2 linked regions of the Sus scrofa genome follow. The protein of the gene in region 2 interacts with the protein of the main gene of each other region in a pairwise test. Links are inferred from orthologs where the notes say so. Each region holds a gene or a part of one and is shown on either strand. Other genes may lie near its edges.

Region 1 (6,177 bases), on a different chromosome or scaffold from region 2:
TCTGTGTATATGGTATTGCATTAAATATGTGCATGTAGCTATACACTATTATATATAATAAAAGAATCCTAAGTGATGGTCGTCCCTCCTAATATGCAATCAGCTCAGCAGCCATAAAAAGAAGGTCCATCCCTATGTACACATAGAAGGACGCCCATGATTTACTGGGTGAAAAAAAAAGAAGCCATCATTTGTTTTTGCTCTGAGTGTAATGTGTGTATATGTGTGTGGGAGGAGAGAGTATGTTTATGATGGGAGTGAATGTGTGAAGGTAAGACTGTGAGAGGAGAGGAAAGTGTACCCAGAGCCATTCCTGTGGAAATGAGGGGGGAAGGGGGGGAGTGGCGAGGATATGCGAAGATCTGCATTATCTGTTGTGCAGGTCAAAGCTGTAGAGATGCGTGTGTTGAGAGGAGAAAGGGAGGTACAGATATGGGAAGTGAGGACACACACGTGTGCAAGAAAAATCTCTTGGCACATATACCAATATTAGCCTGTATAAATAAATGTTTTACTTTACGATTGTTGCAAAGGCTGACTATAAATTTAAAGCCTTGTCACTAGGGGAAAACCCCCACTGAACACTTATGTTCATTTAATCACTTCTGGATTTACTAGAATTTCAAAAGATGAACATCTTCAGTCACTGAATCTCTTTACAACCAAATAAACATGCTATTGAGCCATATGTCCCTTTTTAAACTCTTGATATAAAATGGCTGCTGAAAAACTGAAACAATTTTATGCAGATATAATGAGTTATTATTCCTGTGAAACATTTTTAGCTGAAAAAGAATTTGAAAGGGGAGGAAAAAGCATTGCTAGATAACTTCCTGAACCCTATTTCAGGATGTTATAACATTTTATAATAAGTTAATATTCACTATTTTGCCTTCTAACATTTGTAGAAAATATGCAGAAATTGAATATATTAAAAAGTACTGCAATTTAAACTTAGTATGATATAAAGCTTAAAGTAAAATAATTAAGGTTTGGGGGATTTTTTTAGTGATGGGGGAAATCTTCCTGAAAAAATGAAGATACAGAGCTTAATTACACTGAAAATTTTTATATGTTGCAGAAAAATAAGAGAATTTAAAAAATATTTTTATTAATATACATGTATTTGATAACTTCGAATTTAAAACATTTAGAATCAGCATGAACATGGTAAACTACTCTTCAATGACAAAGATTTGAAATGGGGGAATAGATGCTGTAACTGGTTCCTATTAACCTCCCCATGCATTTTATATCTGCATCTTACACAGTGAAAACTTGATTTACACAGCCCTGTAAGCGCAGTATCGTTCTAACACCCCATTTTGTAGTCTCAGAACACTTTTCAATTAAACTGATCTAGATCTTTAAAGATGTACAGTAAGAAATCTGCACTGTAAAGCTGAATAATACCTTATTCACATTTCTTTCCATTAATATAAACCAGGAACAATTTACGGTAGACACAAAAACTATTCACCACAGTTAAGAGTAAACAGTTGACATTTTTTACTGAACAGTTCTTTTGGTATCCAGGCCCTGCACTCATTATACATCTGAACATGCAATTTCATATTTAATTACCTTGATGGGAAGAGTCACGAGACCACATTTTTCACAACCGATGATGGTGCCATGATGATAGCTTGCAATGAGGACTCACGTCCAAGCCTTTCCCTGGCATTGTAGCTAGCATGACCCACGAGCGCTGCAGCAGATCTGGTGCTCCCCTGCACGATTGTGCTAATGACACATGAATACCCAGGCCGGACTCCCGCCCAAAAACAAAAAACACCGCTTAGTCTTTACTAGCAGGAGACACACCTGTAAGACATCACAGAGACAATGAAAGCAGCCGTGATCTAGGTCTGAACTAACGCCCCCTTTCCTGGGACTCAGAAGTGCCCCTCCAGGCCTAACTGCAGGAGGGCGGCCTCAGCCTCCTCCTCCTCTTCCTTGGCCTCCTCCTCGCGGATCTGCACCAGCAACTGGAAGAGGTTGGGGGCCGGCCCTTCAGCAGCCCCGGTCAGCCACAACTGCCTTCGGATGGCTCCGCTGTGATTGGCCCCGGCAATGACCTGCTCCAGGCGGGCCTGGTTCACGTTATCTTTATCTATGGCCCCCTTCTCAACCACCTTCTGCAGCAGAGGCTCCAGACGAATCACATAAGCAGATAATTTTTCTCCCGGGTTCTGGTATGTGTTCAGAAATCTCACCTGCGCATCCCTAGAGCTCTCGACGCTCCCAAACACCTGCTCCAGCGCCTTCAGGCATTCAGCGGTGGTAATCGCAGGGTTGTTGGTCTTGAGGATGCGGATGACATCAGCGGCAGGGCCTCTAAGGCTCTCCATCAACCGCCGCCTCTTTTCTACATCAGGCACCTGCCACTCCTCTATGACCTCATTAGTGTGCTCCAGCCAGGGATCAAATGCCTCCTCCCCTGGCCCCGGAATGTCCCTTCCCGAGAACAACGTCAGCTTCTTGTACCATATGGACTCAACCAGAGGCTGAATAACATTATCCAAAATATAGTTTAGCATCTCTGCCGGCATTTCGGGGCCTGGGGCCGGAGTGGGGTTCTGAAACCCAAGGACACGGGCAACATCTTGCACGGTCCACCCCTCTCTTGCTAGGAAGAGGTGCAACCTTTCTAAAAATTCAGCATCGGAAGTGGGGGGCTTAAAGACTACTTTCCAGACCCCTCCTTTACCTGGCATCTCCCTGGGGATCGCAGCATAATCGACAGCACCAGTGAGCTCTAACAAGGCTGCTTTGGCATTCTCTTCCCTCCAGAACATTCTCCCAAGCACTCGATAGGGCACCTGGGGCATCGCAGCTTGAAAGGTCTCTTCGATTTCGGTCTCATCACAGTTCACAGGGATCCCCCAGACCAGAAGGGCTCTCTGGGAGTTCACATCCATCCCCCTACACCAATCTTCCAGCAGTGTCATCGCCATTTTCCCAACTATCAAGGGCCCCAATTCTACAAATACAATTAGACTGTGGCTCCCTGTGCTCTAAAACTGAAGACAATAGCAGACGCTCCCACCGCCACCTCCCCCCATATGCCCGAGGGAGTCAATCACGTTTAACAAACGACACCAGTGTCCTGCTCTCCTCTTTTCGCTGCCCCTCAAAGCCAGGCCTCCGCGTTCTCGGAACGAAGCCTCGGGGATGCTCAGTCACATGGCCATCGCCATCTTGTGTCTCCGGTCGGGATCCGCAGGCCGGGTCCTCCACTTACAGGAAGGTGTCGCGTCGGAGCGCAGAGGCGAGGAAAAAAGGCGGGCGGCGAAAGCAGGAGCCGCAGGGCTTGATCGCGGGACGTGGCCGCCTCTTCGCAGCCTGGGCGCCAGGCACTCGCTGCTGCTCCCAGAGGGTGCAAGCTTTCGTTGCCAGAGCGGAGCACGCCTCAGACGAGCTAGGAGCCGCTTCTCCGCAGACAAGAACTAGTACCGCCCCCGGAGGGAAAGACTGTCCTAAGGGAAAGACAGCGGCGGCAGCGAGGCCAACCCGAGAGAGCTTCTTCGTGGGCAAACGTATCCCTCTGGGCGGCGAGGACGCCAAGGACCAAGAACACAGGCAGCAGAGGCGCAGGAAAGACGCGGAAGCCAGGCTAGAGGAGGCGCAGGCGCAGTCGCAGGCAGGCCGCGGCAGCCCCGCACGCAGGCGACCGCGGGCCGAGGTGGGCTGGAGCTGCACAGTTGTACCTCGGTCCCACCCGCAGCCAGCCTAGCCTTTACTGCCGCAGTGGAGGGCGGGGCCGGCCTTCGACCCGCCTCGCCCCGCCCCCCGCGGCCCTGCCCGCGCGACCGTAGCCACGGCAACCACCGACGCGAGACGCCGGAGCTCTAGCGGCCTGCAGGGGCGAATGGTTGCCATGGTGGCAGCTCGGGGCCGCGGGCGTTAATTTCCTTTACCGCGCATTTCCTTTTTCGCATTTTCCAGATTTTTTTTTTTCTTAACAAAGCACTGTGTTTAAAAGATAATATAATTCTGGAGTGGATTTAAGATGATATCCGGCCGTCAAGAAAGACTTGTCTACTCGCGTCGCTCGTTCAGAGGCAATGCTGTATAATACCCTGTACCACCTGACTGCACTCTGCACCCTCTAAATTTTATCCCAGTGAGTTGAGACTTCTTCTTGTCTAAAATGTTGTAAAAAGATCTAGATCTCTATGAATAGTAACCCGGCAAACACTAATGTGTTATTTCCCCTGCCCTGGCATCATGGATAAAACAGGCCTTATGGTTCAAAAATGTCAAGTATCCTTTGGAAGCAAACCAAGGCACACTTACAATCCCAGATGGTGAGATAATAAATCTTTCCCCCAAAGGACACAGAAATCAACTCTGAATTTTTAAAACCTTATTTAATAAAAGGTTTAAAGATACAGAAGAACATTCAAAAGTAAATAAGTTACATAGGTACATTACAATCACATCAGCAAGATTTTCTTTAGTGTGTTAATTTTTTTTTTTATAAAAAGCACACAAAAAATAAAATCTTCCGTCTGGTCTATCACAACTGTACAGCAAAAGAGGTAATATTTATATATATGTACACTATTTTAATATGTAACAGTCTTTTAAAAAAGGGTGCCACAGGCAGCAAACACACAAAAGGCAGTGTCTGATTTTTTCAAAATAAAAGGAATATACTTATTTATATGCTATTAAAATATTTGTACAATAATTACAGACTATCAAGGCTGTTCCTGTGCTCTGTCCCCTCCAACAAGGCCTTTGACTAAGAGACAAATGAGGAAAAGGTGAAACAGCTGCAAATTGTTAGTTAGAGGCAAATATTAATACAGCAAAATATGGGGAGGACATACAATTGTTTTATAAAAATATGCATACTTCCTGTAAACCTAAGGAGTTAGGCTTGCCACTGGTAATAAATACCATCTGAGAAAACTGAGCCCCGGTAAAAACATATTTAAACAGCTGAGGCTTGTGTATGTGTTGTATTCCTCCTTCATCTTAACATCTGGCACATGAGAAGAAAGAGGTTAGGTCATTGAGGCAGTTAAATATAGGGGATCCCTTTAGACATAAGCAGCACACGACCTCTGTGCCAGGGGTGGAAGTGGAGTAGCCAAAGGGATAGGTGTGTACCTTAGCTGTGACAGGGGTTGCTGAAGGCATGGAGGACAGTGTCGAAGCCCTGTCTCCTTGGGTGGCTAAGAGACCTCAGAAATGGTCTAGAACACAGGCACTAGGTTAATCTCATGCCCTTAGCTGAGTGTAGCTGGAGGCTGCGAGATGGGTATGTAAGGTGGTGTACAGAGGACATTATAAAGCTGAAGGTGTTTTCACTTAACTTCTTAAAGCAAACAGCTCTGAACAGAAAAGAAAAAAGAAAAAAACAACACGAGCCTGATATGTTCACAGGGAGAAAGCACCATAAAGGGTAAGCCTATGCCAGCTTCTATGGCTGCACCTACTTTATTGGCAGGTCACTTGCCACAATTGCATCTGCCCTCTAAACAGTTTACCTTTCGCATTACATTCTAAATATGAATCCATCCTGGATCGTAAACCCTTTCAAAACATGGTGTCAGTCGGGGTTAATACAGAGAGGTACCATCTTGATCTTTTCCACCTACATTCACCTGGTCTGGTCTCTCTGGGCTTAGAAGAGGAGAATCACTCTAGACAAAGGAGGTTTCTGTTGCCACATGTCCAAAAAAGAGGCCTGAAACGAAACATAATTCAAATAGAAAAAACCTTGGGAAACGTAAGTAGCACTTTGGGGAGAAGCTGCAAAGGCACTCATATTACACAAGTGATTTAGAAGAGAGCCTAAATTTGCTACCCTCTTATTTTTGCAAAGTATGTCAGATTTTTGCAATCTTGGGCCACTGAGTTTATAGAAGCCTAAGGAAGAAACTAATGGGAAGCTGGAGGTCCCTAGGTAGCCATCAGGAACTGGGGAAGGGAAAGAATTTTGTTACTCCAGTACCGGGGCTCCTGCTGTATAACCATATGAATACATAAGTGAATGCGAAAAAAGACCTGACAGTGCATAGTTTAGAAACAAAACTCCCTCCCCACTCCCAGCTACCAACATTGATGCCTTTAGGCTATCTCATTGGCGGATCAGAATGAATATTTCTTGGCTCCTTCCTAACCTGTCATATACTTGCATGCACCCAGAACTGCTTTTACGCA
Region 2 (5,677 bases):
CCTCTTCAAGCAGGAGCACAATCACTAGCAAACATTTTATGGCACACGTTATGGGCATTAGAGATTCACAGAGAAATGGGCCACAGCCCTGCCCTCAAGGAGCTTACAGTGTAGCTGGAGAGAAATGAAACATCCAAAACAGACATGAAATCCACACATCTATCATAACAAAAACAATTATTGGCTTAAGTCTTCACATGTTTTAACAACTGAGCTGTAGGAATAACTGAGCAAATACACACTACATCAAGTTTCAACCTGACATATCAAAAAAAAAATTGGTTCTATTTATTACTTTGTTCACTTATGTTTCAACTCAACTGAAATAAAACGGAAAACATAATTCCAAACCAAATGTACCATAATGTTCGCTGTCCCAGATGAAGGGGTGGATCTGTTCGGGTCCTAGCATTTCTCCACAGGACTACATCCACAGGTCAAGTTTAGTAGTTCTGACTGCCAAACCGATGTACAAATTCAGACAGGGAGTAGACGGCTCCCCATCCCACCTCAGGATCCATACTGATAAAATCATTCAGGTTCATTTTGGAATCTAAAAGAATACATGAACAAAATGTCCACTGAAAACACAATTTTGGTTTAACAGCAATAAAACAACCCAGGAGACCAAAAGTAGGGAAAATTATTCACGTTTCACAAGGGGTCAATATCACTTCTGCGGTTTCTTGTCTCAAATGCATAACCTCAATCTCACCATGACAAAGTATCACAAAGACCCAAACTGAGGCGCACTATACAAAGTCACTGGAGTTCCTGTTGTGGCTCAGTGGGTTAAGAACCCGACTAGTATCCATGAAGATGTGGGTGTGATCCCTGACTTTGCTCAGTGGGTTAAGGATCTGGGGTGGCAGCAAGCTGCGATGCAGGTCGCAGATGTGGCTCAGATCTGGCTGTGGCTATGGCTATGGTGTAGGCTGGCAGCTACGGCTCCAATTCGACCCCTGGCCTGTGAACTTCCATATGTTGTGGGTATGGCCTTAAAAAGACCAAAAAAAAAAAAAAAATCACTGACCAGTACCCTTTGAAAGTATAAAAGTTATCAAAGAAAAAACAAAAAGTGTCACAGATTGAAGGAGAGTGAGGAGAGATGACAAATAAATGTAATATTCTGGGTTAGATTCTAAACCAAAAAAAAAGAAATTAGTGGGAAAAATTACAAAACTTATATAAGGTCTGTAAGTTAAGAGCACTGTGGCAATATTTTTGTATCAACTGTATTATTTTTTTGGTTTAGATAATTACACTATGGTTTTCTCAGATTCCCCTGGGATCTGACCAAAAGGTATAGAAAAACTGCAGTGTTTTATTTTTTAACCAATTCTCTAGTAGGCTAAAAATAAAGTTATTCAAAAATAAAAAATTAAATGAAAACCTGTAAAAATAAGCAAACTGCCAGTTTACTGGAGGCAACTGCCAATTTATAGGAATTCAGAGAACACAAAAGAGATACAATCACCAAAACCCACACCATTTTCTCCCAGACTCAGTTTCTCCAACATATAAATTACCAAAAAAAAAAAAAAAAAAGAGTTGGACTACGAATCTCTACATATCAAAAAGACTCTAAAGGGAGTTCCCGTCCTGGCGCAGTGAAAACGAATCCAACTATGAACCATGAGGTTCGGGTTCGATCCATGGCCTTGCTCAATGGGTTATGGATCCGGTGTTGCCATGAGCTGTGGTGTAGGTCGCAGATACAGCTTGGATCCCATGCTGCTGTGGCTGTGGCATAGGCCGGCAGCGACAGCTCCAATTTGATCCCTAGCCTGGGAACCTCCATATGCCACAGGTACAGCTCTAAAAAAGCAAAAAATGAAAAATAAAATAAATCCTGGAGTTCCCTGGTGGCTCAGCAGGTTAAGGATCCGGCATTGTCACTGCTGTGGCTTGGGTGGCCACTGTAACACAGGTTTGATCCCTGGCTCAGGAACTTGCACATGCAACCAAAAAAAACAAAAAAATTAAGTTGAGGGGGCCAGGGCAGCTAGATCTGGGGACAGTGTGAGAGAGGCGGGAACTACACAGAGAGCTGTCTGGAGACCTGCAGAGGCGCCTCAGCCCTTTACCCCCAAGTCTTTGGCTAAGGACTGATCTCACAAGTCCAGGAAAGAAGCAGCAGAAAGCAGTCTAACAACACCCCTCCAGCCCTCAGGCATTTGGGAGAATCCACAGAAAGGTCACTCGAGAGTGGGGAAGCTAAATCAGCAGCAGCCAAAGGCCACCTCGAACCCGCAGGAAACGGCCTACAAGCCAGCCTTGAAAGGACCCGCCTGACCCTCAGAAATTTAAGTGGGGCCAGAACCAAATCCAAGACTGTTTCTTAAAGTAACCCAAGATCTAGGAGCTGACAATGTGAAATGCACAAAATCCAGCAGCCAACCAAATATTAGGAGTCATACAAAGAAAACAGGAAAATACAACTCAAAACCAGGAGAGAAATCAGCAGACAAGGACCAGCGATTATAAATAGGCTCCATTTACTCAAAAGAGTAGTTAAACATGAGCACGACAAAGACCAAAAGGGGAGAGAGTAAATCAGCCCCAAATGGAGCATCTAGAAATGAAAAAACAAACACGTAAAATGGAAAAAAAAAAATGCACCGCAAAAGGATTTAAGATCAATGAATTTACAAGCAAAATAATTACTGAAAATGAAGCACATACAGAAAAAGTCTGAAAAAGATGAACAGAACATCACTGACCTAAGAGGAAAATGACACACTATCTAAACAACATATTTGAGGTGAAGTGTGATGTTTTCTTGAACCATTTTTTCTTTCCTAACCGTTTTTTCTTAAATAAAACCCTAACTAGCTGAAAGTAATTCCCCCTTAACCTAATTTCAAATATACTGCTTTGATAAAGACAGGGCTTGCAGTAATGCATGTCCCATACAAGAGAACACACAGTAAATTACGACATGAGAAACCAGTGTGTTTACCCCACACTTTGGAGCAGATTCCTTTGAGCTCCAATCTCAAGTTCAGGAGGCCTCTGATGAGCTAGCTACACGAGGGTGGGGGCAACTGACACCCGATCACAAGGTGCTACCGGACTTGGAGGCCTTCCAGCTGGGGAAGCAGGCTTGACCTGCCTGTGCGCCAGTCTGTATGGCAGGCAAGTGTGGAAAACAAAGCCTGCCTCTTGTGGTGAAGATTAAACCAAAATAAGATGCAAAGGGGCTGGCACCGAAGCCTCTCCCAAAACAGCACCTACTGGGTAGTAGCCATCAAACCCAAAGAAATGACTCACAGAGGACAGGGGCTGAGAAGGTGTTGTTTCCTGAAGGCCTACTACGCACCAAACTCTGCCTTAGAGCTGCCACAGGCCCTGTCAGCCTGGTGAGTGAGACTGAAGGCAAGATCCCTGAGGCCCCTTCCTGACCTCAGCTGTCCCAATTCTAACCCTGAGGTTGGGAACCCGGTTGGTGAGGCAAAATCAATTCCAATATAAATTTTTAAAATTATGAGAGCTTTTCACAGAGAGCCTCAAAAATCAGAGTTTGAATCCTCTTTCAGTCTTCACTCCCCTCAAACATGCCAAATATTTTTTTTACTCTCTTCACTGCTGAATTCCGAACACCACTGTCCTATTTTTCCGGCATCCTGTACAGCTTACAGAACAGTTTGACTCACACAGCCTCATCCATGTGAGAGGATGATTTCACCAATTAAAGGCAACGCTACCAATTACTTCCCATCATAAATAATGTTTCCAGCTTCAGGTGAGTGCCAAGCAACAGAAAGAGGTGAAGAACCCTTTATCCGCTTAAATCTGGAAGAATTACTATTTGGACTGATGCCTAAAAGCACATAAATGAGATGAGTGGGACGATAAAACCTGCTAGCTCTCACCTCCTTCTTAGGCAGCTTTTATTACAGAGCCAGTGAAATGACATTTCACACATTCCAAAGACGCGCTGGGATTTCCTCCCCATAACATGAAACCCTCCCGTGGCAAGATGCTTGTAGTCCCGCTGTTAAATGACTCGAACACGCAGACCTTCCGAAGCCCAATGTCCCAGCAATGGTGCCAGGGTTTGGGCCCTAACACCGTTCCTCTCCCATGAGTTCTGGTGCCCTCCAGTCCTGCTCTCCGTGCCTCGATTCCTAAATCCGATGAATACACAGAACGACACTCCCTCTTGCCTCCTTAGCTCTCCAGAGGTCTTACCCAAAGAACAATGTGCTTCCTGACCCTGGTTAAGGGAACGCGCTCATCTGCACAGTGACGGGAACCCCCTGGGGGCGGCCGTGGCTCACCTCCAGTCTCGATGCAGGGATAGGACGGAGGAGGTTCTCTCCAGTTCCCGCTGGAATCCTTCATGTGAGATCGGTCAGAAGCAAAGTTCTTCAAATACGAATCTGCACGGATCACTCGGAATTTCCTACACACAAACCAACATTCATTTTATATCACAGCTGAAATCCTAACTCAGCTCTTACATAGACCGTGTTCTATGACATGAACAAAACCACGCAGGCCTTTTTATACACTCTGTGATACAAAAACATACACATGCTGCTTTAATACCGGTTAAAGACAGCGTGAGAAATGATCAGCTGAAAACCCAAACTTCAAAGGCATGGAAATATATCTAGCTGCCTTTACTTTCCCAACTGTGTATCAGGGGCAAAGGGTAGTTTTCAGAGACTGCCATCACAGCGCTCTCCACGGTGGCATCATAAGGCATCCTACTCACCCACCCCACACCATCCCACCACACTCCCCCCAAAAATAAGAAAAGGACAGAGAGCCCCACAACAACTTTCAGAAAAATGTTTTGGATCTCATCACACAAATTTTTAAAAGACTGCCAACCTTTTACACAACGGACAACATTTAAAACTTTAAAACATTTTGAATCTTCTATATAGCACATCATTCTCAAACCTCGACTAAATGGTGAAGCCCAGACAACTGATGTTTATAAAACCAATGCAAAAACAAACACACAAACAAAACAACTGAATATTAATTATTATCAAGGTCCGATTGCAGAAAGTTGATAAATCCACCTTGAATCTCCTCACCTTCTAAACTGCGGATGAATGTCCTCATCAGACTTAAAGGCATCTTCCACATACGTATCAAAGGGGCAGGGAAATGGCAGGACAGTGTCAAGGTCATAAATGAAGCTCTGTCCTCCACTCGACACATGAAGCAAGACAACATGGTAATCCTAGAAGTAAAAGTTGCTGAAATTAACCAGATTACCCTACGATCGTGTATTCCAAGGGTATACCAGTACTGCATACATATCATCAAAAATGGACAAGACAAATACAGCCCTCCTTATAACAGCAAATAAAGCAAACACAAAACCCTGAAAACAGGCCAAAAGTCCAGTGACGGGGAACAGGTAAGCAACCGGTGGAAATGTTGATGTACATTAAATGTACACCCTTGGCCTAGCAACTTTACCCTGAGGAATCCATCCTACAGAAAATCGGCCGTGTGTATGGAGAGGTATATATGCAAAGAAAATCTCTGCAGCATTGCTTATAACTGAAAATTCAGAAGCAACCAGAAGTCCACCGAGAGGAATGGTTCACAAACTACGGTGCAGCCATAAGATGGAGTCCCAGGGGGCTACTTAAAGGAGTCAGGTAAATGCGGAGTTCTCCAATGGCTCAGCAGGTTAGGGATCTAGCAC

What was found.
Region 1: the proteins of WDYHV1 (region 2) and PNMA1 interact in binary tests that used the Homo sapiens proteins (3 or more experiments, as listed by UniProt). The two-hybrid records come from large-scale screens. The link is inferred for Sus scrofa from reciprocal best matches to the Homo sapiens genes NTAQ1 and PNMA1.

Annotation. Positions count from the first base shown.
Region 1 is NC_010449.5:97,048,061-97,054,237, forward strand, and holds PNMA1 (paraneoplastic antigen Ma1), read right to left. Parts: upstream 3,798-6,177; 5' UTR 2,958-3,797; coding exon 1,896-2,957; 3' UTR 1,090-1,895; downstream 1-1,089.
Region 2 is NC_010446.5:15,980,844-15,986,520, forward strand, and holds part of WDYHV1 (protein N-terminal glutamine amidohydrolase), read right to left. Parts: intron 5,204-5,677; coding exon 5,055-5,203; intron 4,409-5,054; coding exon 4,284-4,408; intron 554-4,283; coding exon 444-553; 3' UTR 1-443. UniProt on the Homo sapiens protein: Mediates the side-chain deamidation of N-terminal glutamine residues to glutamate, an important step in N-end rule pathway of protein degradation.